Linked DNA regions of Oryzias latipes. The protein of the gene in region 1 interacts with the protein of each later gene in a pairwise test. Links are inferred from orthologs where the notes say so. Each region holds a gene or a part of one and is shown in the gene's direction. Other genes may lie near its edges.

Region 1 (4,147 bases):
ACAATACTAGAAAGAGGAAATCAATTTTTCTATATGGTGTTTTGGAAGAAAAGCGCCAGTATTTATCTTTGATGATGTCATCCACTGTCAGCAGAGCGGAGGCACAGCATCACTAAAAAGCTGACCTGTGTGTTGGACGTGCTGTTCCCCTGCAGAACTCACCATTCCATCTGTAATGAGAGGCGCTGCTTGGTCTCCAGCTCCTCTCCTTCCAGTTTGAGTGTGTCGTCCTCCTCTCCTGCCTCTGCGATCTGCTCCCACTGCCTGCTGTCCACCCACAGAGCTTCCTGCAGGCTGAGGCCTCGGTCAATGCAGGTGACCCTGCGGCACAGCGGGCAGGCCAGCGCCAGGTAGCTGCTCCTGACCTGCTGCATGGCCTCCAGACACAGTTCACAGAAGGTATGTCTGCAGTGAAGCACCCGGGGGATCCTGTCCATGCGGGAGTAAGGGAAGAAGCAGACGGTGCAGTCGCTGTCCTCACACAGAACCATGGTCCAGATGGACGACGGCGATGTTCCTGCTGAGAGCCACAGAGGAGCTGCAGAAGGTCCCAGACGGTCCCACGGGCCCGGCTGGGAAGAAACATGAAAAGATTGTCCTTTGGTCAAACTTTACCCAGGAATGACAGCTGTATTTATTTCTACTCTAAGGAGAAAAAATGAATTAGAGGAATTTTTGATATTTTAATTCTTGTGAATGCAACCATTTCACATCAAGATAAGAAAACTCATTATTTTCTTGGATAATAACATGTCCTTTTAATAGTAAAAAGTTACAGTATAAAAAGAAGTTTACCACTGACAGAAGAAGAGGAGTCATGTTCAAATAAATCAAATGTTATACTTACTTGAGTGAAATGCTTCTAGTTCTCGTTCAGATCAGGTTTTTCCAAGTGGCTCAGTCTGCCTGCAGTCAAGAACTGTAAATGAACTGTCGCGTCTGCCGCCTGTTGAGAGTCCGCCGCGGCTGGGGGCGGAACAGAGACGTCTGTCACCGCCCAGGACTCGCCCAACAACAGCTGGGGAAGCTGAGCCAAGCCTCCGTCTTTGTTCCTGTGTTTGCTGTTAGGCCGGTGGAGGGCTGGTCGAAGGAGATGACTAACTTAGAAATGGTAAAAAGTTAAAAAAATAAATAAATAAATAAAATAAAAAATATCCACTCCAACCACTTGGATAAAAATGTTTTTCTTAGTGGAAAATAAAAAGCTTTGGGCAGTGGACAATAAAAACCTTTGGGCTCGTCCGGGATTTGAACCCGGGACCTCTCGCACCCAAAGCGAGAATCATACCCCTAGACCAACGAGCCACGCTTACACTTAGTCAAAATATGTAAATATAATCTGTATTGAGATGAAAATGGAGGGTGTGTCCGAATTCGGGGGCTGCGTCTTTCAGTGGCCGCGGCCTTCACGGTCGACGTTGGCCGGGTCATTCGTCGCGCGGGTTGTCTGGATGTTAACGGCTGTGAATTTGGACGAGTCTTAGCCGTAGATCATTCCAGCCGCGTCGGCGAATGTCCTGTCGCGTAGTAAGTAACGTGTCGCGTGACTGACTCAGAGAGGAGTAGTGATCCAGGCATGGAGTCCTTATAGTCCGGCTGAGACACAACAGGTACTGTACGGAGCCCGTGACCTGACATGGGTAAAAAAAAAAAATGTTCCCACGAAATAATAATTCATCTGATAAGTCATTCTTGGATTTACAGCAGATACTTTCACATTTCTGTCTGTGTATATTTCATTACAATGCATTGAAGACACGGAGGATGTTTAGAGGTCTGTGTGCACTTTTTTGGCATTTTCAACATGCTTATGCTAATTTAACAGACTATTTTCATTCATCTTTGTTGTTTTATGTTGAAACGGGACATTTCGTTTAAACATTGGTGTTCTGCGCATGACAGGTTCATGACGTAAGGTGACAAATGGACTTCTGGGTTTGTGATTGAAAAGGAAAATAAAGTAGCGGTCCTCTACACCCAAACGAGTCTCTGAGCTCCTTAGTTAACTCCGCTTTACCGACACCGAACCCTGGAAGGCTGGCTACACTAACAAAAATGTGATTTTAAGTCGTCAAAAGGCTCAAAATTTGTTTGTTTTTGAAACTTATCTGGAAATAAAGCTTCACAAAAGTCTCCACATATTTCGTCTTCAAGCTAGGCTCCGATAAACAGAAAACTTATGTGTTTTTACTTGTTTTTTACTATGACTTTTTCTTGTAGATTTACGAGAAAAAAACTCAAAAATTTACGAGATTTTAAGTTGTGAATTTATGAGATAAAACTCATAAATTAACGAGATAAAATCTCATAACGTCTTAAAATCTCGTAATTTAACAGTTATGACTTTCTTTCTCTGAAATTTACGAATTAAAAATCGTAATTTTAATTTTTTTTTTTTGTAAACTGAAAACTCCATCGTATTTATGAATCCACTGTGTTCTGAAGATAAAAACTTTGATGGTTTGTTTAAAATATACTTTATTTGGGGTAAAAATTGCTTTGACGCAATGCATTGTGGTCTATGGTACCGATTTACGTAGTGAGCACACTGGTTTTTGACAGAGCCTATGTCCGAAATCCCACCCTAACCGTTATATAGTGCATCTTACCATTTTGAAGTGCTGTCTGAACCTACAATTCCCAAATTGAGTGCCCCGCAGAAATTTCCCAGATGTCTCTGCGAAAAACCGGTGTGCCTCGACGCTCATTAGATCGGGAAATATAGACAACAATGCATTGCGTCTGTAATTTTTGCAGAAAAATGTATTTAAATGTTTTTAAAATGTTTTGTGTTTATCTTCAGAAGACAGTGGACTTATAAATAATCATCACAAAGTCACACCCCACCCCTCCCCTTTCGTTCTCACTCATGCAGCCCCGTGTGACACGAGATAGGAGCAGCTGCAGGGACGGGAATTCAAAGGTTTCAGGCTGTTACAAACTCTGTGATATAACAGACAACAGGAACCGAATAGTGGACCAGATATTTTTCCAAGCACTGAGCCGCTGTCACCACCGCCCCCATGTTAAATTTGCGCACCGGACGATTGCCCGTATTACCTGTGCATAAACCACCATCACCGCGCGCCCCCCCCTGACATCGCTTCGCGCCGCCTAGCCCCACTATTTGAGAAGAACTGGTCTAGTGGGTCTAGATGACCCAACTCCCAATGTTAAAGTGCCTAGGATAGCACGGTGTCTGAATAGCTTTTAAAATTCAAGGCATTATATAATGCTGCACTGTATAGTTTTTTTTAAAAGTTAGGGGTTAGGGCGGTAACAGGCTCCGTATGTATTCAATCTCTCAAAAAATAAAACAAAATTCTACAAGATGAAGTTCTCAAGAATTACACAATAGCTTTAGCTAGTTTAACGGACATATTTTATAACTTCCTTACAGGTTGTAAAATATATAATAACTGTAGTAACTTTGTGGGTTTGTAGAGTACCCCAAAATGGTTAATAAAAATACTTTTTTTTGTTTATTTACTTCTCATAAGTTTTTATACTAAATATAACTGTGTACAAGTACCTACCCTCTTTTGAGAATGTAAAAAAATTGTTATATAATAACTATAAACTATTTTTAAATTGTTTTATTAATCAGACTACATTAGTGTTAAATGTTAATTTTATCATGTGACTTATTTTTTGCAGAAATTAATTTTAACAATGTTTACCATACTCTTATTTGAATTCAGTAAAAGTTGAATTTAAGTATTTTGTTCTTATCATATCCAAGTAAAATCATCTTTTTAAGCCTCATAGAAACTTAAAACCAAATCTTTATAATAAAAAAGGATTTCTTGTGTATTTCTCTTTGACCAGACTAGATGTCTGTACTGCAGAATCAACTTATGGATAATCTTTGGTCACGCAGCATCCATCGACACCAAGCTCTGCAAACCCTGCTGATCTACAGTGAAGGCGCATCCCGAAACTCTCTTAGCAGATCAACAGACCAGATTAGTTTTAACCCTTTTGCTATCCTGGGAGTTGGGTCATCTAGACCCACTAGAGAGTGCTCTGAACCTTTTTTCTTGAATGATTTGTGATCTTCAGTGGTGTCCATGGATTACATGAAATCTTTCCACCTTTGTCATGGTAGGGAGAACACGTCAAAGTAAGGGTGTAGTCATCATTTTGT
Region 2 (3,971 bases), on another chromosome or scaffold:
TTCCTTTTGCTCCGTCTGTGCGCGGTTGACAGCTTGACAGATTTATTTATTTTTTGGACAGGGGGGGATTTCAAACATCTTGGAGGAGCTGGTGGTGCAGCCCGTGCTGGTTTCCATCAGCGCGTTGACTCTGGCCACAGAAACGGTCCGTAGCATCCTCAAGATCGATGACGTGGTAAGACTCAGAACTGGATTCCCTTTTTCATTTTACAGAAGTATGATTGGAAATTAATTTTTGTGTTCTGGTTCCAGGTGAACACTCGATAGGTCTGTCCGGTTTCTGAAGCCCGTTTGTTCTGCGAGGGATCAGAGCATCACGTCGACAGCAGTCTGCTCCGATTTCTGCTGTAGTTATTGCATTGCCTAATTTAATAAAAGGCTGTGGGGTTTTTTTTGTTGACACTGCTGCCTCTTTTTGTCTTTCTTTCTTTGTCTTTGTCTTTATGTTGCACTAAAGTGTAGTACACAGATTTAGAAACATGTTCTGGTCTTCATTTTTTTTAAATTGTATGTCTTGAAAACCGCTAATTTGAAAAAAGTATGTGAAATATTAACGCAGAGTTAACACGTATTTACCAAATAATTTCTGCAGCATGAAAAGATGCATAAAATCTGGTTTCTAGTACTTATCAGACTAATGGTAACATTATAAAACATGACCTAAATGTAAAATGTTGATTTGCTGTTATAAAATAAGGTTTTCTCTTGATTAAAGAGTAATGACAGATCTTTATTTGTCATTGTCACGCATACAATAGAATTTAAAGTGATTCCTGGTCAGTCTAACACTCATACCTTAAAAAAAATTAGACTCCAGGCGCCGGTGCCTCTGACCTCATGCTCATCCAAGACGTGGACGGTGCTGCTTTTCTATAGAATTGGTTAAAAATGTAAAATCTTTAGATAGAATTTTTGTGTGTCTTCAAAAATTGGGTGATGATCATGGCCTGGTTCAAAAAAAAAGTCCTGCTTCTATGCAAAATAAATTCAATGCATAAGTAATTTTATTATTTGAATTAAGATACTTTTTTTTATTTAAGTAGCCGTTTTCATTCAATTAATCAAATAAGAAAAAAATATATACATTTTAATGGTCAGAACCTGTGTTTACTCGATTCATTTTAAGCGTTCAGTTTAAAAATGTACACGTTTCCAACGCTTTTATTTTGTATCAGAGCTTTGTTCTTTGCTTCCGTTTTACGTCACTTCCTTCCTAACGATGCTTCTCCGTTGCTAAGAAGCCAGCCAACCTGACAACGACTGTTCCCTCCGGGGAACGAACTAAGTAACAGAACCTCATCAAGGCGCTTTTTTAAAAAAAAAAAACTGTTTCAACAAAAAGATGGCGAATCCTCACCGGACGAACGTTTTATTAACTTCCTGTCTGAAGGCGCCGGTGGACCCGCACACCAAGGCGCCGCTTGCGTCATACGAGCGCGGGGCAGTCCTAACGCACGCGACTGCAGGCCAGCTGGACAACCGGGACTATGAGAAAGAGGTAAACACATGTTTAAAAATATTTCACAATAAAAGTCACACTTTCAAAATAATAATCTTTCTAAAAATAGTTAAGACAACTCTGTATTTATTGAGATATATAGAAACTTTGTATACACTTTAGATTGGAGGTTGTTATACTATATTTTATTTATTTATTTATTTATTACAATGTGAAGGTGGGTGAAGCTGTTGTTTTCCTGTAGTCTGAGTGCAGCTCCCTCTGACCTGAGACAGGTTATGTCCAGTTAACAGGATGTTGACAGTTTCAGGTCAGCCAGGTGGAAGGGATTTGATCTGTCATTTGTTGTCCCGTCTATTTTTGGATTTCTGTCTTCACTAGATTACCAGAAGTCTTGTTGGGTCGGTAATCTCTTTTATATCCTTTTAACAGCAATGACCTTCTGTGGAAAAAACACCTCGTAGCAAGTTGGTCTAATTTTCAGAAACGCTTCTGACAAACATCCTTTTTAATGGAGGCCGGACACTTTAGGAGGAGTAGATGTCAGCGGAGCTCCTTCATGCTGAGCTCACCTTTGTGTTCCAACCATATGGCTCTGATCATTGTGACTGCAGGATAATGAGCTTAGTCCTGAAGACCTTACTGCCCCTCAACAGGGCAGCAGTGTTCTTTAGGGCATAGAAGTGAAAACAAACTTTTAATAAATTCATGTAGGAAGCCTTCAAATACCTGTTAATTAACATGATGATCCTTGAGTGACCTTTGGGCATTTCAGCTGGAGTTTTGGGACTCGGGCTCGGATTTCTGTGATGAGGACTGTCTGGGGATGGGAGGAGCTCACGTGGGGGGCAGCTTCAGGGCAGCCGTCGACCGCCTGGACCTGAGTGAAATCTTCTTCTCCAATGAGGAATACTACAGCAAGCTGGAGGAGCTGAAGAGGGCCCACGAACGCACCATGGCAGAGCTGGAAAGCATGTACCAGCAGAAGCTGCAGCTCAGGTCCGGTGAAGCTTTTGATATGAAGGCCCTGGATATCGGTCACAGGTCAGTTGGGCCGGATTAAAGGAATTTCTTTGACAGTTTAACACTAATTTTGCAAACCGAGACTATTGTTGTTGTTTTTTTATTTTATATATTAACCATATTTTCACTGAGATTAAGGGACTTTGATTATGAGATATTCATTCCTGCAGAAATAAAATAAAATAATTAGCTCAGCTGCCTACAATTGAACATGTTTTAGGGTTGCTTTTAAGAATAAAAAACAAATTACCTGGAAAGCTTAAAGATTTCCTCTTTAAATTTTTTATTGTTCGCATGTCCATTTCTTTTTTAGATTATACTGTCATGCATGGAAGAAAGCTTCGGCCTATCTTATGCATGTTTTGCAGGATTCAACCATTGACTGTAAATGAGAACTGAACTGAGTGACCCCTCCCTCCTGGCGTCCCAAACAGGCCAAAATCGCATAGACTTCTATAGAGAAATAAACAGAAGTTCTTCAGTCATTCTATTTTTCAGAATAACTATTCTTGCTCTGAAACCTTTTTTTTTAAAGACCCACTTCTATGAAAACTGTGATTTTCATAGAAAATCACAGTTTTGTGGTGTTTTTAACATGTTCTTATGGCATTTTTCTGAAGATGGAGGACAACTTTGAAGAGAATTAAGGTTATAATTGCATTTCTGAGTATTTCTTTATTCAAATTGCTGTGAATCAGGAGCAGATGAGACAAAAAACAGTTTGAAAAAGAGGATATTTGTGATGTAGAAAATACGCTGGGTGGGCCAAAAGCTCCCTGCTCCATTCTGAGCTGGAATCTGGATCTAGACTGTACGGTTGAAGAGCTTCACCATCATCCACAGTAATGTTAGGTTGGGGGTGTAAGGGCCTGAAAGGTAGCGAGAGAGAGTGTAAACAGAGAACTCTCTGCTGTGGGTGACAGACGTCATCTTTAGCTTAACCCCTAACCCAAAACTCAGAGGTGAATTTCTAATGAACTCCTGCCACTCTGCAGAAACTTTTAGCCAAAAAAAAATTATTTTGGCTAAAAACAGCATAATCATAATTGAAAGACCACTGGGAATGCTCTAAAAATCAAAAGATTATCATAATTCTCAATAATCTTAGTTCTTTCATGATATTTTTTCTGTTGTAAAGGTTATTCAAGCTATAAGCTGACCCATCAGATGCCTCAATAAAATTCAGCGGCCAAAGTTTTGTAAACTTGATTGACAGGTGGTAGAAATGTGGACTTCCAACAGTACCGATTGGTGAGAGTTGTCGCCATAGAAATGCAGGGGTCCAATTTGGACATATCACTGCTGACTCCAACACGGTGGTGTCTGTATCGCAAAAAACAGACGACTGAATTGATTACATTTTGTTGGAGCCATAAGTAAACCATTTTCCATGGGTGACGTCACATTCACTCAGTCCAGTTCTCATATACAGTCAATGGTTTTAAGTAATTGGCTTTGGGCGGGGTTTAGTCTGTGCTCGAGGTGGGTC
Region 3 (3,725 bases), on another chromosome or scaffold:
GTGTTGATGTTGATAAGGAGGCTTTACATGAATAGATCACATAATTACCAACCTATTGTTTTTGTATGAGCTTTGGAAGCTGTTGCTCAGACGTATTATTCATTTGGGTTGTTGGTTGAGAGATGGCAGTTTGTCCTATTCTTTTGCTTTGCTCACACTGGGGGCCACAGGGCAGTGAGCAGTAAAGGAATCTGCTTAATCTGTCACTTCACATCACAAGGTAACAGCTGGAACTATTCCGAGATGTCTTTCTGGGATGTGAGATTATCCTTAAACCACGCACCACGAGTCAATGCATAAGAATAGCCTGCTTCATTTTGCTGCTATTGTGCATCTGCATCAAATTAGCCTGACTTTCGTCTTCAAAAATTAAAAGCTCACGTTGTGTACACAGCATGAGTCTGTCCTTGACTTGACCAAAGGAAAAAAAAACAGGAGTTTTAATATTTAAATCTTTGTGCAGCTGGCTGTCTAGGGCAGTACCAATGTTGCAATAGACGCAGCTCATGACATTCTTAAAGTCAGCAAACAGGTGACACAAAATGAAAGTGGTGTGTTTCTAGATTCTTTGAGTGTCTCTGGGTGTGTACTCCATACTGCGGTTTGTTTATTTTACCTCATTAAATATGAGATACATAGTTGACAGATGCCTTTCTCTCTCTGTAGGTTCCTTAACCCCAGGCTCTCATTTTCTTGGCCGCTTCCAGGATCGTATGGTTTGGATAATGATTCTAGAGAAAGGATATGGCTACTGCACAGTCAATATTAAGGTAAGCAGTTAATCTTTGGGATATGTACCTTGTTGCAGGAATTTTACAGCAGCGTCACTTTGTTTGGTGATTTCCTTACAGGGTCTTGAGCTACAGGAGACCTCTTGCCACACAGTGGAAGCTCGGAGAGTTGATGAAGTGTTTGAGGCCGCCTTTGAACATCCTGAGCGTATTGGCTTTAGCCACGGGTTTAACTCGCACTGGGGAAACGCTCTTACTCCCTGCGCCACGCTCGAAGTGCGAGTGTACTCTGATGCTCGAAATGTACTTTCTGGCATCATTGACTCGCATGAAAACTTGAGGAAACTTCAGGATGACTTCATGAAAGTTCTGATCTGGCTGCTCCTTCGATATGGTGTACAGAAGCACAAGGGGTTTCTATGGAGCAGCCAGGAGGGGTCAGGGATTTGGGGAATGAAGTCCCAGTCCTCACAGTTTCCCCAGACCACGTGTAACCAGCCACCTGAAGCTGTTATGGTAGAATCAAATATATCCTCCGTTAAATTCAGACAAGACAGCTCCAGTACGACTTCTTTTGGTGACTGGTCAGACGAGGACGACCTGTTTGGACCCCAACCAGCCAGACGGACTGTGGCATTAGTGACTGCAGAGGCTCAACCTGGACACACAACGCTAGAGACAGGAGGTTCGCTGCCAGGTTCTGTAGAAATGGATAGTCTTTTTGAAAACATGGCGCTCTCTGCTCTTCAGCCCCTGCAGCCTCTGGGACTGGGCATCGGGATGCCAGCCGTAGATAAAGGATTAAACCCAGAGCTCTTCAGAGAGAACCCCCATCTGAACTTCAGCTGTCCCTACTCAGAAATATTCAACCTACCGCCGGGGTGGAGGACAGCACCGTTACTACCCTCCTGCTTGCTGTCGCTGCGGCCTTTATTTCCAGAGGAATGGTTCCGGTTCACATTGGGGCGGTTTGGGGTTGCCGTGCAGGGTCAAACCTCGGAGGACATGAACAAAGCACTAAAGGAAGACGAGGTTTTGAAAGAACTGCATGTTAAGGTTGCACTGTCATGCCTTATCTCACTTGGTGCTGAGACAGCCTTCAACAGTCCTAGTTACATATACAGGGTGTATTGTGGGGATGTGCCATGGACAGAAGGACTCGACTGGCTGTCATCAAGTAAAGAACTCTACCAGCTCACACTAAAAGCCTTCAGGTGACACTGCTGTTCAGAATCTCTTAAAGCTGATGATTTTCCACTGATTTTATGTTATTCAGTAAGATACATGTGAGACTTTTCTGCTTTTTTTAATTTTCCCTCAGGCTAAGTTTCAAGCTCTTGTTTGATCAGGCTAGCCTTGGGGCAATGGAGTCCCACGAGGAGTTGTTCAGCACTTTAGAAGATTATGAAAGAGACTGGTACATCGGTCTGGTGACAGAAAAAGGCTGGCATGATGGCGTCCTTCAGGAGAAGCCCTTCTTATTTTCCTTGGGACATGATCTTGCCATGGTGATGTGAAAGTTTCAGCCTATATTAGATTCTAAGCCTGTTTACCTAAAGATGACCCTCTTGAACATCTTTTGTCTACAGGGTACCTACACAGGCCGAGTCCTGACCCTGCAGGAGCAGTTGGTGCAGGTAGGCCACCTGAATGGCGAGGGGGTACGAGGCCAGTGGGCGAACCTCTCCTGGGAACTCTTGTACGCTACTAATGATGACGAAGAGCGCTACAGCATCCAGGCTCACCCTTTCATGCTTCGAAACTTAACCGTTCAGGCAGCCGACCCTCCTCTGGGCTACCCCATTTACTCCTCCGCGCCCCTTCACTTCCCCTGCCTCTGACCCATTTCCACTCCAACCTCTTTTTACACTCGGTCTTTATAATCGGTATTACCAACTAACATTTCTATTCTTTTTTTTCGGAGTAAACTTTTGCATTTCAATACAAATCCTTTTTTTTTTTTAAACCTGCAGACTTTTAACTTTGGAAGTTCATTTTCTACATTCTACTAACAAATGTGATTCTGGGTGCTTCATTGATCTAGCTGTAGCAAAAAGAAAACAGTCTCCATTTCAAAGAAGTTACAAAAGTTTCAAAGTTTATTTAAACAAAAAAAAACATTTCGTTGTTTAAACATGTTATTTAGGTCATCACTAAAGTTAAAATATTACGTAGTTTGTTAATGGTTGTGCTTTAATAAAAATAATGAACGTTTAGCCATATCCTTTGAGATGAACCTGCTACACTTTTGTGTTTTCTTTTCCCCTTGTATATCTCCCATGTCCATACAAAAGGGACTTTTAATGTTTTGTTAAGAATATCAAGGGTGTGCCTTGAGTATGTATTTTTGTATGTGTATGCCGTTTATTGCTATTGTTTGGTTTACAGTTCAATTGTTTACAGTTAAGGAGGAATAGTTAAGTTTATTGTATATAATAGTTTTTTATGTGTAACTGGTTCAACTTGTAATAAAAAAAAAAGCGTGGCAAATGCACACCTGGTCTGATTTGTTCAACCAAACTTTGATCCATAAATAAGTGTTTTATTTTGGGTAAGATGTAATTTTCTAAAAATAAGTTTTGATCATTTGTCTTAAGTTTGTGTTATGATCCGTGTACAATAGTACTTTTTATTTAATTTATTTTTTTATTTAAAATGAAAGATGGGCACTGTGCTCTTAAAGCAGTAGTAATTTTATTTTTAGAAAACATCTACCGTAGGAATGTAATAAACACCTTTGGTCTTGAAAAATGAGGTTTTTCAGGAGGTCTTTGGTTTCCTGAAGTATGCAGAGTCTGCATCCTGCAACAGAAAAATGTGATTAACGGCTCAACTTGGGGAAAATGCCTAATATATATTTTTTGCAAGGTTGAAAAATTTATAAATGAGTTACAATTTTGTGATGTTTACTAAGGTTTATCTGTAAGAAATAGTGTTTGATTTTCTTCACAACCCAAACCTTTCACTCATGTTAACCCCTCAATGTTAAACTAG
Region 4 (3,500 bases), on another chromosome or scaffold:
ATGTGAAGAAATTCTTGAGTGACAAACGTTCTGCAGGTTTTTAGACCTCCTTGTTCATTTCAGACGTCCTCTAGGTAATAATGCTAGATTCATATCAATATTGGAAAATGTTTCAGTATATTGCCCAAACAGCCCCCATGAAGAAATGTGGAGCAATCTGCAGCTTTTGATTCCAGTTAATTAAAAAATGATTCCTTAGATTTTAAACAGAATAATGGTTCATTCCGCCAGTCCAGTTTTCACCAATCCACATCCAAATGCTTTAACTGCATCGATGAAAAACAAACGTCCTGTTACAGAAACCAACACATTTGAGAAAATCTGTTCTGAGCATTTTGCCAGCATCACTAGTAAAGACTACAAACTTTAGGAAAAGGAAATTTGAAGTTTAGGCCAAAAAGACTGATGTCCATCCATTTACAGCTTTATAATCTGTTCTCAGCTCAAACAATGCAGAGAAGCTTCAGGCCAGCAGGACAGAGGCTTTTAACCAGCAACACCTAAATAATGCGCTTTTTGACAAAACGTGACTGTTTGGCTGAGAAAGCGACTTTTCATTCTGGTTTGCACTGATACAGCAGCTATAGCTGTCCTCTAAAACAGAATCAGCTGATGTATGTTGATTATGTAAGCGCTTCACTACTGCTTTTTACTGGAATCACGTTAATTGCGTCAATGGTTGAACAGTTATGGTAGTCGAAAGAATGTAAACTGGAGCTAAAGGTTCGGTGTAGAAGAATGTCCCTTTACAGTCCCGTGGGCAGGTCCTTATTATTTTATGTAAATATGATGTTGGAGTCAGAGAACGTCCTGGTGCATTTGCTGTTTTATGCATGGATTTCCTGTTGATGACAGAAGCAGTGGAGCGACTTTGGCTCAGGCTGCCTGTTTGTGTTTCAGGTACAAAGAGCTGACAGAGCAGCAGCTGCCCGGCGCTCTGCCGCCCGAATGCACGCCCAACATCGACGGGCCGAACGCTCGCTCCGTGCAGCGCGAACAGAGCCTGCACTCCTTCCACACACTGTTCTGCAGACGCTGCTTCAAATACGACTGCTTCCTGCACCGTGAGTGCTCACGGAGGCCTCACAGCCTCAAACGTCTGCATGACTCGGTGTTTGAAGGTTAAGCCACGCCTTTCCCTCTTTCAGCTTTTCATGCAACTCCAAACACATATAAGCGCAAGAACCTGGAGAACCTGGTGGAGAGTAAGCCCTGCGGCATCGACTGCTACATGTATCTTGTTCAGGTGAGTTTTCAATGTTGCTGTCTGACTTTTTGAAAGGAGGAACAAGTGGGCTGAAACTTTGAACTGCGTCCCCCAGGACGGGATGTTTCGGGAGTTTCCTGCTGGTGTTGTTGCAGAGCGGGCCAAGACGCCGTCCAAACGCTCTGTGGGTCGTCGCCGCGGACGGCAGCCCAACAGCAACAGCAGCTCTCGACCCAGCACCCCCACCATTTCCTCAGAAACCAAAGACGCCGACAGCGACCGCGAGGACGGCAAGGAAGACGAGCGAGACAACGATAAGGACGATGAAGACAAGAAGGACGAGACCACCAGCAGCTCAGGTACTTCACCACAGGCTGTGGCTTTCCTGATACTTTCACTGTTCCCTTTGTGAGCTGATGAGAAATCTTACAGAGAATGTTTTCAAGAACTCCAACACTGTTCAACCTTTGTGTTTGGATGAACGTTTGACCTTCATTACTGAACGCAGCTTCTCTGTCAGCTCCAGAGTCATCCTCAATGACAGAGTCTCTGCTGCACTTGGAAAACATTTCCACAACCGAAAGAAAACCAAAAACGGACAGTCGTGACGTGAGAAAGAGCAGCAGTGTAGAGCAGGGGTCTGCCACCTGAGGCTGTGGAGTCACATGTAGCTCTTTATCCCTCCAGCGTGGCTCCATGAATAAATAATAATACGTCTGTTAGTCAACTTTGTCCTTCATGTTCAGATTTTTCAACTGGTGAACTTACATTGGTTGAACTATCCTTTTTTTTAAGTACATCAACATCAAGAGGCATTGAGAGCTTGACCTTTTCTCCAAAATGCACACGTGTCAGACATGAGCAAAATGATGATCTATGGTCAGAGTGGGTCATTACTAGAATAAGATTAAAGCTCATATTCTCATATTTTATATCTAGTTGCTGTTCAGAGGCAAAGTTCTTCAAGTAAAATTGGAACTTAATCTGCTGCAGCAGGAGGATCTTATTTGACACAGGATGTGCTTTATTTTGAAAGGAACTTGTATGTGCTCCTGTCAAAACTAACGGAACAGAAATATAACACTGTTCTAATTGGATAATTGTAAGTATTTATAAGCTACATTTTTGTAAATGCATGTCCGAAGGGACAGAGAAACATCAATTAAGTGTATTTTCTAAACAGTGAGGTGGACTTTGCAGCTTTCGTTGGGTTTTGCTCTGTCAGAAACTGGACCAAATGGGTCTTTTAGTGTGAAAGGTTTCATCCTCCTGGTGTAGAGGGAAGAGCAGTCGCCATGAAAACGCCTTTTGAAAACCAAGTCAGACCAGACTTCACACAAAAACGACAGCACTCCACTCTATAGCCGTCTACTGTCAGCTCCCTTAGAGGAAACACCCTTTACATATTCTCATCTCATATGAGCTGTAACTGCCTTTAACACAAAAATGGAATATTGATTACCCAGAATGCCTCTTCAGTGCAGTCACACGGTTGTAAGGATTGCTGTTTGGATGTGTTCAGAGGGGAACTCGCGCTGCCAGACTCCGGTGAAGATGAAGCTGACGGGTGAAGCAGAGGCGGTGGAGTGGAGCGGCGCTGAAGCGTCTCTGTTCAGGGTTCTCATCGGGACGTACTACGATAACTTCTGCGCCATCGCGCGCCTCATTGGCACCAAGACCTGCAGACAGGTGAGCTGTGATGCACAGTGAACACGGGTCAGAAAGAGATGCACTTTCTGATTACGTTATGGCTTTTTGTGTGTTTTTATACCCAAAAATGAGATGGGATTTATGGCTCTTTTTAGGGAGCCAAATCTTTAGGATCAGTTCATTTAAAAGAGCCGTTCAAAACAGTGGCTCATTTGGCTCTTTTTTAAATGTACCGTATTCCTTTTTGAAGAAGCCAGCCGGGAGTTTATTCATTTCATCCTGGGAATAATCCCAGGGAGGGTTGATGGGCTGAGATCTGGATCAGAATCATTCAAATACAGATTTCTCACCAACAATTGAGTTCAAATTATTTTTGAAAGCTCAATTATAGCTTCATTTGACATGTGTGCAAAAGATGTCTGATATGGATTCAATGTAAACATTCCACTTCTATATCCCTGTAAGTTGATGCTGAGATCACCATTTCCCCCTTGTATAAAGAGTGGACCATGAATTCATGCAACAGGTCCAGTTTCTTACTGACAAGACTGAGTTAGAGCTGCAAAATCTCACTACTCTATTTATAAAAATGCAACAGCAGTTCCTTTCAAAATAAAATACTGTGTCAGTGAACTCCTCTTGA
Region 5 (3,500 bases), on another chromosome or scaffold:
CAGGTCACTCAGTCTGACCTCTGTGTGACCTGCAGAGTCACTCAGTCTGACCTCTGTGTGACCTGCAGAGTCACTCAGTTTGACCTCTGTGTGACCTGCAGAATCACTCAGTCTGACCTCTGTGTGACCTGCAGAGTCACTCAGTCTGACCTCTGTGTGACCTGCAGAGTCACTCAGTCTGACCTCTGTGTGACCTGCAGAGTCACTCAGTTTGACCTCTGTGTGACCTGCAGAGTCACTCAGTTTGACCTCTGTGTGACCTGCAGAGTCACTCAGTCTGACCTCTGTGTGAACTGCAGGGTCACTCAGTCTGACCTCTGTGTGACCTACAGGGTCACTCAGTCTGACCTCAGGTCACACAGTCTGACCTCTGTGTGACCTGCAGGGTCACTCAGTCTGACCTCTGTGTGACCTGCAGGGTCACTCAGTTTGACCTTTGTGTGACCTGCAGGGTCACTCAGTCTGACCTCTGTGTGACCTACAGGGTCACTCAGTCTGACCTCAGGTCACACAGTCTGACCTCTGTGTGACCTGCAGGGTCACTCAGTCTGACCTCTGTGTGACCTGCAGGGTCACTCAGTTTGACCTTTGTGTGACCTGCAGGGTCACTCAGTCTGACCTCTGTGTGACCTGCAGAGTCACTCAGTCTGACCTCTGTGTGACCTGCAGGGTCACTCAGTTTGACCTTTGTGTGACCTGCAGAGTCACTCAGTCTGACCTCTGTGTGACCTGCAGAGTCACTCAGTCTGACCTCTGTGTGACCTGCAGAGTCACTCAGTCTGACCTCTGTGTGACCTGCAGAGTCACTCAGTCTGACCTCTGTGTGACCTGCAGAGTCACTCAGTTTGACCTCTGTGTGACCTGCAGAGTCACTCAGTCTGACCTCTGTGTGACCTGCAGGGTCACTCAGTCTGACCTCTGTGTGACCTGCAGAGTCACTCAGTTTGACCTCTGTGTGACCTGCAGAGTCACTCAGTCTGACCTCTGTGTGAACTGCAGGGTCACTCAGTCTGACCTCTGTGTGACCTACAGGGTCACTCAGTCTGACCTCAGGTCACACAGTCTGACCTCTGTGTGACCTGCAGGGTCACTCAGTCTGACCTCTGTGTGACCTGCAGGGTCTGTGTCACGCCGTCAGGAAGGAGGTGTGGAAGTGTCTGCTGGGATATTCACCATGGAGCAGCACGCTGGAGGAGAGGAAGCTCCTGCAGAGGAACAAAACGTATACTGGTGACCTTACCACTGTCAGCTGACTGCATCTGCAGCAGATGCTGTTCCCATGGAAACGTGGTTGTTTGTGTCCGCCGCAGAGACGAGTACTTCAGGATGAAGCTGCAGTGGAAGTCCGTGAGTGAGGAGCAGGAGAGGAGAAACTCCAGGTTGAGAGACTACAGGAGTCTGATTGGTGAGGAAGACGCTCTGTGTCTGTGTCCTAATCTTCATCCTCCACCTCTTTTCCAATGTTTCTCCTGCTTTTTGTCGATCTGCTCTATTCACGCTAGCATTCCCCTGGTCTCTTCAGTAATCTTTTCATTGTCGTTCACCTTTTTGTTCTGCTTGCTGTGGAACTCTTCTCCTTATGGAGGAGGAAGCCGGATAAAACCCACGCATGCCTGAGGTGAACATGCAAACGCCACACAGAAAGGTCCTCCATTGGTGTTCTGGTTCAGGTCCCCCAGCCGGGACTTGAACCGGGACTTGAGCCTTCTTGCTGTGTGGCGAGAGCGCTAAACACTGCACATTAAAAAAAAACTGGTAGAAACATAAAAAAGTATTTAGAAAAATTAATTACCTTTTAGAAAGAATGTCATTTTATTTGGTTTTTGTGAGGTTTACGTAAAATTACATAAAATTTCAAACTTGAAGGAAAAACAAAAACCTGGGCACATCTTTAACTAATTTAGTTAAAAATTATTATTGAAAACTATCACAACATCAAGGAAAACAGCTGAATCTTCACATTTTTTGTTTCTCAATCATTACAAGAAATTTTCGTGAGATCGTAGAGAAACTAAACATCAATACCGACGATTGAGTTTCTCTTTTTTTTACATTTTTGGTTTCTGGTGTGCGGCGGGATTTTTGTCGAGGAAAAAGTGTACCTCGGCTTGAAAAAGGTTGAAAAACGCTGTTCTAGAGCACACTGGTCCTGGGGGAGACGCAAAAAAACCAAAACAACCCAAGCTCAGAAATGAACTCCGTTACTTCCTAAAAGGTCTAAAAGTTTGGAGAGGGCAGTCTTTCTGAGACTGAAGCCCCCAACCCAAGCATCAGATGATCTTAAGTCAACATCACAGTACTTTAAGTACTTTTTGATTTAAAGAGGATGGAGAATGTGGAGACTGCTGAGTCTTGTGCCTGTTCTGTTGGCGCTGCAGCTTCTTTATGGTTATCTGTCTCTGTTTCCAGAGAAAGATGTGAATCGGACCGACAGAACCAACCGGTTCTACGAAGGGATCGACAACCCTGGCCTGGCTCTGCTGCACGACATCCTGATGACCTACTGCATGTACGACTTCGACCTGGGTGAGAGCTGGCGGAAGACTGTTGCCCCCACCTCATGTTTTTCAACCTCATTCATTCCCGTTCTGAATGAGGAGACCACTGAGTGACCCCCACGTTATAAACCTTTAGACCAACAGTGGAATTCAGCATGAGGAGGAACTTCTCATGTAAATCTCCACGATCCAATAAAAAGCAGCGTGAACCAGAAGTAAATCTGAATACTGCCGATTGAATCTTCTACCTGTAATCCAGAGGAGCAGCAGTCTAAGCAGAGATCCGAGGACCTCCCTCCCCACAGGAACTTCTTCCAGTTTTTTGGGAGAACCACATGGTCCTCCCAGACCAGCCAATCAACAAAGTCCCTCCAGCGCAAGATCTGGTCTTATTAGTGATGGATCAGCTTCACTGCAGCCGCTACACCTATCGATCCAAAGCTCGATCCTTCACCTGTGAGCAAGATCCCAGATACTAAAACTCTCTGTCTGCCTACCCAAAGAGGGTGCACCCTCATTCTGATCGAGAACCATGGCATCCAACTTTTAAGTGCTAATTCCTGCTTCAGTTGTTTCGAACTTGGCGGTAAACTGTCCCAGAACACACTGAAAGAGCTGGTTTTACAGAAACCACCAGAACAACATCATCACAATATAGATGTCCTGGTCGTGCTCAAACATAGTGTTCATTATGGACTAACTGTGACTGACACAGAAGTCTAATAACAAAGCACCACTCTGGTTCAGATCAGGCAAACCATTCTTCTTGATCACGCCCCTCCAGCTATTGCTGTCATTGCCCATGTGTCTGGTGATGTCTCTCAGTAGAACACTGAAGTCCCCTTCAAAGCACTTTTTGGTACATTTCCTAGAGACTCTGAGAAGCTTGGGTTTGGCCCATAAGCCAACACCACAGTGAGAGACCTGTCTCTGTCCTGGAGACATGGGGACTTCACCCATATGCCCATCAGGGTACATGGCAGCTGAACTGGGGTGCTTCTC
Region 6 (2,894 bases), on another chromosome or scaffold:
CTAAACCAAAGGAAGTCGTTGGCATGGGTGTGCTAGATAATGTTGTTTGTCATTCTCTTGTTGCAGCTGCTGCATGCAGACAAAAGGAGAGAGTATCTGTACCAACTGCAGGAGTTCATGGTCACAGACAACAGTCGCAACTGGAGATTCAGATATGAGCTGGCAGAGTACGTTGACTTTTGTTTCCTCACACACAACAGACTTGAACATCATTTTCTATTCAGTTTATTCATAAAGCACTGCTTCATATTTCTGTGTTAAAAAACATGTCTATGAGGACTCTCATTCATCCAGGTTGATTCCATCATAGTAGTAGGTTTAGGGGCTGTCATCTGCAAACCTACTACTATGGTGTTAAGAAACAGTTTCAGTAGGGGGTGAGGGATGCAAACCAATATATTAGATATCATAATATTTTAGCCAGACTAATAACAGTGTTCCCTCGTTTATTGTCAGGGATAATTAAACCGAGATGGGTGAAATCCACAAAGTAAGAGTATAGATGTTTAAGGCTGTAAAAGCCTTTAGGCACACTTTCGATACTTTTTCAGACAGACTTTACATTTTCCCATTTTCTCTCTTGTTTAAACTCTCAAAGCTAAGACCTTCATGGAAAAATGAGCCCAGTATTATAGAATAAATACAAAGATCTGTTCTCGATCAGTGTTTTATGTAAATAGGGGAACGCTGAAAGCATCCTCTACAGGAGATGCAGCACAGAGGAAATTGATTGACGAGGTCAACAGCCAATCAAGATGTAGAACACATTGTGTTGTAAACAAAACATGCAAAATCACGCTAAAAAAAATCTGAAAACAGCGAGACCACCATGGATGAACACTGTATCTATAAAAGGGGTTTAGGATTGTACATTCCCTTTTTTTATGTTTATTTAACACCACATTATCCTGATTGACAGCAGATTCATGTGCTGTCTCTTGCTGGATTAGTAAATAATAATTATTTGTATTTCTAGCTTCTTTTTTTGGGGGGGGAATAAAGCCAAAATCTGTATATTTTAAGAGATAACCATAACATGAAAAAGAAAGTCATTCTACAACATTCTAGCATTTGGTTCTGCTCACACACTTGTGCACTGTTGAGGCAAAAACATGCGTCAATGGAGAAGTGTGAATTATTCATGACACAGTGTCTGGAGAATATTCTCTTTCTTGACCGTGGTCTCTTCAGGGTCCTAGTGCCAGTTGGATCTAGTCCGGGCTTCACATTGCTGGCAGCTTGCCCTTTCTGTTGTGTATTTTTAACGTTTGCTTCAAGCAGTGACAACAGTAACCAACACACTGAACATGTGTGCACATGAACGCAATAAGTAGCTCCTATTGCCACATATCATGGAGCATAAATGCATTTCTGCTTTGATAGGTATGAAGTCATAACACAATCCTGTCTTAAATAAAATCAGGCATAGTTCTTTTAGCCCTAGATCTGTTCAAATTACAGGTATTCTAACTGACTTTATTTTCTATCAGCTTCATAATTGTGTGTTGCTGTTTTTTTTTTTCCTACAGGCAGCTGATCTTGATAATAGAGTTGTACAACCACCGTGACGTGTACGACTACCTCAGACATATAGCGCTCACCCTTTGCTCTGACAAAGTGTCAGAAGTCCGGTGGATTTCTTACAAACTGGTAAGTTTACAAGAAATGGGGTTTGTAGAAAGACATGTCTAAATATTTAAAGAAACATGACAGTAGTATCACAATAGAGAGGAAGTTTAGATGCTACACACATGGAAGAAAAAAACCCATAACCATCATGATTCAGGTTTTAGCATCAAGGCGACATCTGGGGAAAATATTCCAATTTGTCAGCTGCTGATTCATTCATTGAAACTTCTAGAAGTGGTCTGAGTGGGTTGTGTGCTCTTACCTGTCGTCAGGTGGTGGAAATTCTGCAGAAGCTGTATGCCAGCAGGGCTGATGACCTGGGCTTGGAGTTCATCAATGAGCTGACCGTGAGGTTCTGCCACTGTCCCAAGTGGGTGGGGAGGCAGGCGTTTGCCTTCATCTGCCAGGTCTGTGTTTGCTTTTAGAATCCACATTATATTAGGGAAGAGGTATTCTCAATAATTCTTTGAACACGCTTTTGTTTATTTTGGTTTTAATCTTTCAACTGAATGTATAAAAATGCTGATACTGAGCTCCTAAACCAAAAGACAGACTGACCGGTGTGAACTTTATTACTGCTGTGTGATTCTAAGTTACAAGCAAAACTGATGGAAAAATTTTCACTTAATTTTTAATACAGCAAAGAAGACTTTGATTCCTAAATGCAAACATGCATTCAATCATTTTTATTTGAGTAAAACTTGGACAGACTAAAAAGTTCTGTGGTTTTCTCTGTTTCATTTCTGGTGAATCTGTTTGATCTCTAACAGGAACACTTTCCTCTGAATATCAGCTGTTTCTGCTGTTTTCGCATACAAAAGAAAACATTTGTCAGTGTCAATTAAAGACCAGCAAGTAGATGGTGTTCGGCTTGGTCCCGCCTATAAAATCCTCCCACAATTCTCTGGGAACGATCAACTCATTTACTTGCCCATGTCATACTTTACATATGTAGCCATGGTGAAACAACAGAACTTCATTTGTGTTTAAAAGCCCAGATGCACATTAAAGCTTGCAGATAACCTGAACCTCAAAAAGTGAGCAAAGTGCTCTGGGCTCTGAGGGGTTTTTACCCATCAACTTACAAACTGTGACTAGTCAGTGCAGCTTTCCACTTTTTTTTTTTTTTTTCCTGTTTCTGTGTCCATGGCTGTCTCCAAATCAAATGTCCTCAAAGACACAAGAGGGACAATTCAGCTCAGAAAGGGGGGTGTTTGTGTTGCTGGTTTTATCTGCAACTGAAAATAATTACAAAACTTGTTTTT
Region 7 (3,500 bases), on another chromosome or scaffold:
CTCCGTAAAGAGCCGCAGTGACCACCTTTGTTGCTCTGTGAAGAGCCGCAGTGACCACCTTTGTTGCTCCGTAAAGAGCCGCAGTGACCACGTTTGTTGCTCCGTAAAGAGCCGCAGGGACCACCTTTGTTGCTCCGCAAAGAGCCGCAGGGACCACCTTTGTTGCTCCGCAAAGAGCCGCAGGGACCACCTTTGTTGCTCCGTAAAGAGCCGCAGGGACCACCTTTGTTGCTCCGTAAAGAGCCGCAGTGACCACCTTTGTTGCTCCGTAAAGAGCCGCAGTGACCACCTTTGTTGCTCCGTAAAGAGCCGCAGGGACCACCTTTGTTGCTCCGTAAAGAGCCGCAGTGACCACGTTTGTTGCTCCGTAAAGAGCCGCAGGGACCACCTTTGTTGCTCCGTAAAGAGCCGCAGTGACCACGTTTGTTGCTCCGTAAAGAGCCGCAGTGACCATCTTTGTTGCTCCGTAAAGAGCCGCAGGGACCACCTTTGTTGCTCCGTAAAGAGCCGCAGTGACCATCTTTGTTGCTCCGTAAAGAGCCGCAGGGACCACCTTTGTTGCTCCGTAAAGAGCCGCAGGGACCACCTTTGTTGCTCCGTAAAGAGCCGCAGTGACCACGTTTGTTGCTCCGTAAAGAGCCGCAGGGACCACCTTTGTTGCTCCGTAAAGAGCCGCAGTGACCACCTTTGTTGCTCCGTAAAGAGCCGCAGTGACCACCTTTGTTGCTCCGTGAAGAGCCGCAGTGACCACGTTTGTTGCTCCGTAAATAGCCGCAGTGACCACCTTTGTTGCTCCGTAAAGAGCCGCAGTGACCACCTTTGTTGCTCCGTGAAGAGCCGCAGTGACCACGTTTGTTGCTCCGTAAAGAGCCGCAGGGACCACCTTTGTTGCTCCGTAAAGAGCCGCAGGGACCACCTTTGTTGCTCCGTAAAGAGCCGCAGTGACCACCTTTGTTGCTCCGCAAAGAGCCGCAGGGACCACGTTTGTTGCTCCGTAAAGAGCCGCAGGGACCACCTTTGTTGCTCCGTAAAGAGCCGCAGTGACCACCTTTGTTGCTCCGTAAAGAGCCGCAGTGACCACCTTTGTTGCTCCGTAAAGAGCCGCAGTGACCACCTTTGTTGCTCCGTAAAGAGCCGCAGTGACCACCTTTGTTGCTCCGTAAAGAGCCGCAGGGACCACCTTTGTTGCTCCGTAAAGAGCCGCAGTGACCACGTTTGTTGCTCCGTAAAGAGCCGCAGGGACCACCTTTGTTGCTCCGTAAAGAGCCGCAGTGACCACCTTTGTTGCTCCGTAAAGAGCCGCAGTGACCACCTTTGTTGCTCCGTGAAGAGCCGCAGTGACCACGTTTGTTGCTCCGTAAATAGCCGCAGTGACCACCTTTGTTGCTCCGTAGTCATTTTTTCCCTGCAGTGCCTTTGGGTTTTGTGAGTTTTTTACTGATCTTCCTCACATGTTCAGTCTTGTCTTTGAGCGATGTGTTTTATGTTTTTCGTTACCTGCTCTCTACAGGTTGAAACTTGATGACGGCAGTTCCAGACAAAATCAGTGCAACCCAGTTACTTGATAACATCCTCCTTCAGCCCCCTCATCCTTCTCATTACTGCTAATGAATATTGGCTTTTAGTACAGAAGTGATGAATATATTTGTGTTCAGCTATGAGAGGGCCAGCTTTTGTTTGTTCTTAGAGCGTCCTGCACCTGTGAGGAGGGACAGATTTAGAAATGTATTGTTATCCATCAATGCCGACCGTGGTTTCAGAGAAAACGTCTGTTATAAAGTTCCCATTGTTGGTTCTGGTTCTGCTGCTCCTGCTAGTGTATTCAGATGATGGAGGAGAGCTGCAGCTGTGTGTGGGACGCTCCTGGAATCTGGCATTGCCCCAACTCATTGCTGCTCGCTCCACTCTCCTCCTACTGTTGTTGCACAACAGCCCCCACCCCCATAACACTGCCCCCCACTTGTAAATTCTGTTTCTCTGATTATTGGTGACATAATTCATACTTTGGGTGAGAATAGATGTGACAGAGCAGTGTTATGTCATCCTCACATTAGAGTCAGTGTCTGGAAGTTTCTGCTTTGTGCAAACATCAGAGGGTCAAATACTGTTGGTTTGTTTTCACAGGACAACAGACAACTTCTGAATGAGAGAATCAAGTTGGAGGGGATCATGACCCGGGTGGAGACCTATCTGAATGAGAACTTACGGAAGAGACTGGATCAAGTGGAGCAGGTACATTTTGAGAGTTTTATACCGTATTCTTTGGACCAAAAGGGACACGTAAACTTTAAACCTAATACATTTTTCCTAAAATCAGCGCTGCGTCTTGTGTACGGTACAGTTTGTGTGAATTCTGGTTGTGCTGACTGACCTCAAACTGATTGTGCTACAAAAATCTTGAATAATGTTTGGGAACTACAAAGCAGGATTGCTTAATGGATCTGGGGCATTACTGCCGCTGGAATCAAGAGCCTGGTGGAGTGATGCCTCCTAATATTCTGTATCAGGACCTGAAGAATTTAGTGTATTGTTTTGTCTTTTGTGGGACAACTGAACAATGCTGAGAGTTTTCTTTCTACATTCATTCAGTATCTCACCATGAGGACACGCCCCTCCCCATGCGTTTTCCTCTGAAGCTTTTTCCCCGGCCCGACTGGCAGACAGAAGGTGACGTCTACTCTAGAATAGAAGTTGGTCGTCACCTTTTCCTCCTCAGTCCAACACGCTTGCTCCGAGAAGCGGAGAGCTTTTGTTGTAACAGCGTAGCTTAACTGTTCAGAGGGCAAACTGATCACTGGATCATCGAGGCCACATTACCTTCTCTGAGTTGAGTAGCTGGTTTGTCTCCAAGCAAACCATACGGTCCAGGATGCGATAGCTTCTCCGGTCCCTTGTGAACACTGTGCATGGCTCTCCCTCAAACCCCACAAAACAATGATTAGGGTAACCAATCCCCCCCTCCGCCTGAGTTAACCGACTGCGTCCGCAGATATTTGCCTCCCATGGGCTTCAGTTTAGGGCGACCAGCTAGAGGCTGCCGTACCGCTGAGCAACCGTGAGGAGCCTGACGAGGCCACACCCCTGGAGTGGTGAGACACTGCTTGGCGCCAAAACTGACTCTGGAGATCAGCCTCGGATCCGAGGAGGACTGCAGACGTAGTGGATTTACAAACCTGACTTATGCGGTGGACCTGCACGATGCCTGCAGAAAAGCAGATGTAAAGCTGGGTGTCAAGTGGCTCAAAGCCCCCACGAGACCTCCATGTCTCGCTACGATGGAAACGCCTCCAGAAAGCCTGATCTTCTGGTGTTTCCTCGAGAGCCTGCAGGAGGCGACCCACTTTCCACCTAGAACCTCACCCCCCCGGGCGTTCAAGAGGATGGTTTTGACCACATCCCTCCACTGGAACCTCTGCTGGTGTCTCACCTTCACCCGACACAGAGGCCCACCACAACCTCCTCGAGCCCCGCCTTGCCTTCCAAAGCAGATGGGTTTCAGT

Evidence for each region.
Region 2: the proteins of cep63 (region 1) and fam161a interact in binary tests that used the Homo sapiens proteins (3 or more experiments, as listed by UniProt). The two-hybrid records come from large-scale screens. The link is inferred for Oryzias latipes from reciprocal best matches to the Homo sapiens genes CEP63 and FAM161A.
Region 3: the proteins of cep63 (region 1) and pcnx4 interact in a two-hybrid assay, tested with the Homo sapiens proteins (2 studies listed by BioGRID and IntAct). The link is inferred for Oryzias latipes from reciprocal best matches to the Homo sapiens genes CEP63 and PCNX4.
Region 4: the proteins of cep63 (region 1) and ezh2 interact in binary tests that used the Homo sapiens proteins (3 or more experiments, as listed by UniProt). The two-hybrid records come from large-scale screens. The link is inferred for Oryzias latipes from reciprocal best matches to the Homo sapiens genes CEP63 and EZH2.
Region 5: the proteins of cep63 (region 1) and tbc1d15 interact in binary tests that used the Homo sapiens proteins (3 or more experiments, as listed by UniProt). The two-hybrid records come from large-scale screens. The link is inferred for Oryzias latipes from reciprocal best matches to the Homo sapiens genes CEP63 and TBC1D15.
Region 6: the proteins of cep63 (region 1) and ppp4r1 interact in a two-hybrid assay, tested with the Homo sapiens proteins (2 studies listed by BioGRID and IntAct). The link is inferred for Oryzias latipes from reciprocal best matches to the Homo sapiens genes CEP63 and PPP4R1.
Region 7: the proteins of cep63 (region 1) and smc3 interact in a two-hybrid assay, tested with the Homo sapiens proteins (2 studies listed by BioGRID and IntAct). The link is inferred for Oryzias latipes from reciprocal best matches to the Homo sapiens genes CEP63 and SMC3.

The regions. Positions count from the first base shown.
Region 1 is NC_019862.2:2,686,827-2,690,973, reverse strand, and holds the start of cep63 (centrosomal protein of 63 kDa), read left to right. Parts: upstream 1-1,347; 5' UTR 1,348-1,610; intron 1,611-4,147. Other genes in the region: uncharacterized protein LOC111947333, read right to left, coding at 163-491. UniProt on the Homo sapiens protein: Required for normal spindle assembly.
Region 2 is NC_019859.2:4,112,955-4,116,925, forward strand, and holds the start of fam161a (protein FAM161A), read left to right. Parts: upstream 1-1,171; 5' UTR 1,172-1,342; coding exon 1,343-1,498; intron 1,499-1,891; exon of another isoform or gene 1,892-2,234; coding exon 2,235-2,503; intron 2,504-3,971. Other genes in the region: cct4 (T-complex protein 1 subunit delta), read left to right, coding at 62-175, 253-267. UniProt on the Homo sapiens protein: Involved in ciliogenesis.
Region 3 is NC_019880.2:12,135,017-12,138,741, reverse strand, and holds the end of pcnx4 (pecanex-like protein 4), read left to right. Parts: intron 1-666; coding exon 667-770; intron 771-851; coding exon 852-1,945; intron 1,946-2,052; coding exon 2,053-2,239; intron 2,240-2,320; coding exon 2,321-2,572; 3' UTR 2,573-3,225; downstream 3,226-3,725. Other genes in the region: dhrs7 (dehydrogenase/reductase SDR family member 7), read right to left, coding at 3,492-3,533.
Region 4 is NC_019878.2:3,247,520-3,251,019, reverse strand, and holds part of ezh2 (histone-lysine N-methyltransferase EZH2), read left to right. Parts: intron 1-900; coding exon 901-1,064; intron 1,065-1,148; coding exon 1,149-1,246; intron 1,247-1,322; coding exon 1,323-1,566; intron 1,567-2,729; coding exon 2,730-2,896; intron 2,897-3,500. UniProt on the Homo sapiens protein: Polycomb group (PcG) protein. Catalytic subunit of the PRC2/EED-EZH2 complex, which methylates 'Lys-9' (H3K9me) and 'Lys-27' (H3K27me) of histone H3, leading to transcriptional repression of the affected target gene.
Region 5 is NC_019864.2:5,639,853-5,643,352, forward strand, and holds part of tbc1d15 (TBC1 domain family member 15), read left to right. Parts: intron 1-1,118; coding exon 1,119-1,222; intron 1,223-1,310; coding exon 1,311-1,405; intron 1,406-2,409; coding exon 2,410-2,526; intron 2,527-3,500. UniProt on the Homo sapiens protein: Acts as a GTPase activating protein for RAB7A. Does not act on RAB4, RAB5 or RAB6.
Region 6 is NC_019863.2:13,852,844-13,855,737, forward strand, and holds part of ppp4r1 (serine/threonine-protein phosphatase 4 regulatory subunit 1), read left to right. Parts: intron 1-66; coding exon 67-167; intron 168-1,529; coding exon 1,530-1,650; intron 1,651-1,901; coding exon 1,902-2,036; intron 2,037-2,894. UniProt on the Homo sapiens protein: Regulatory subunit of serine/threonine-protein phosphatase 4. May play a role in regulation of cell division in renal glomeruli. The PPP4C-PPP4R1 PP4 complex may play a role in dephosphorylation and regulation of HDAC3.
Region 7 is NC_019859.2:36,697,916-36,701,415, forward strand, and holds part of smc3 (structural maintenance of chromosomes protein 3), read left to right. Parts: intron 1-2,124; coding exon 2,125-2,232; intron 2,233-3,500. UniProt on the Homo sapiens protein: Central component of cohesin, a complex required for chromosome cohesion during the cell cycle. The cohesin complex may form a large proteinaceous ring within which sister chromatids can be trapped.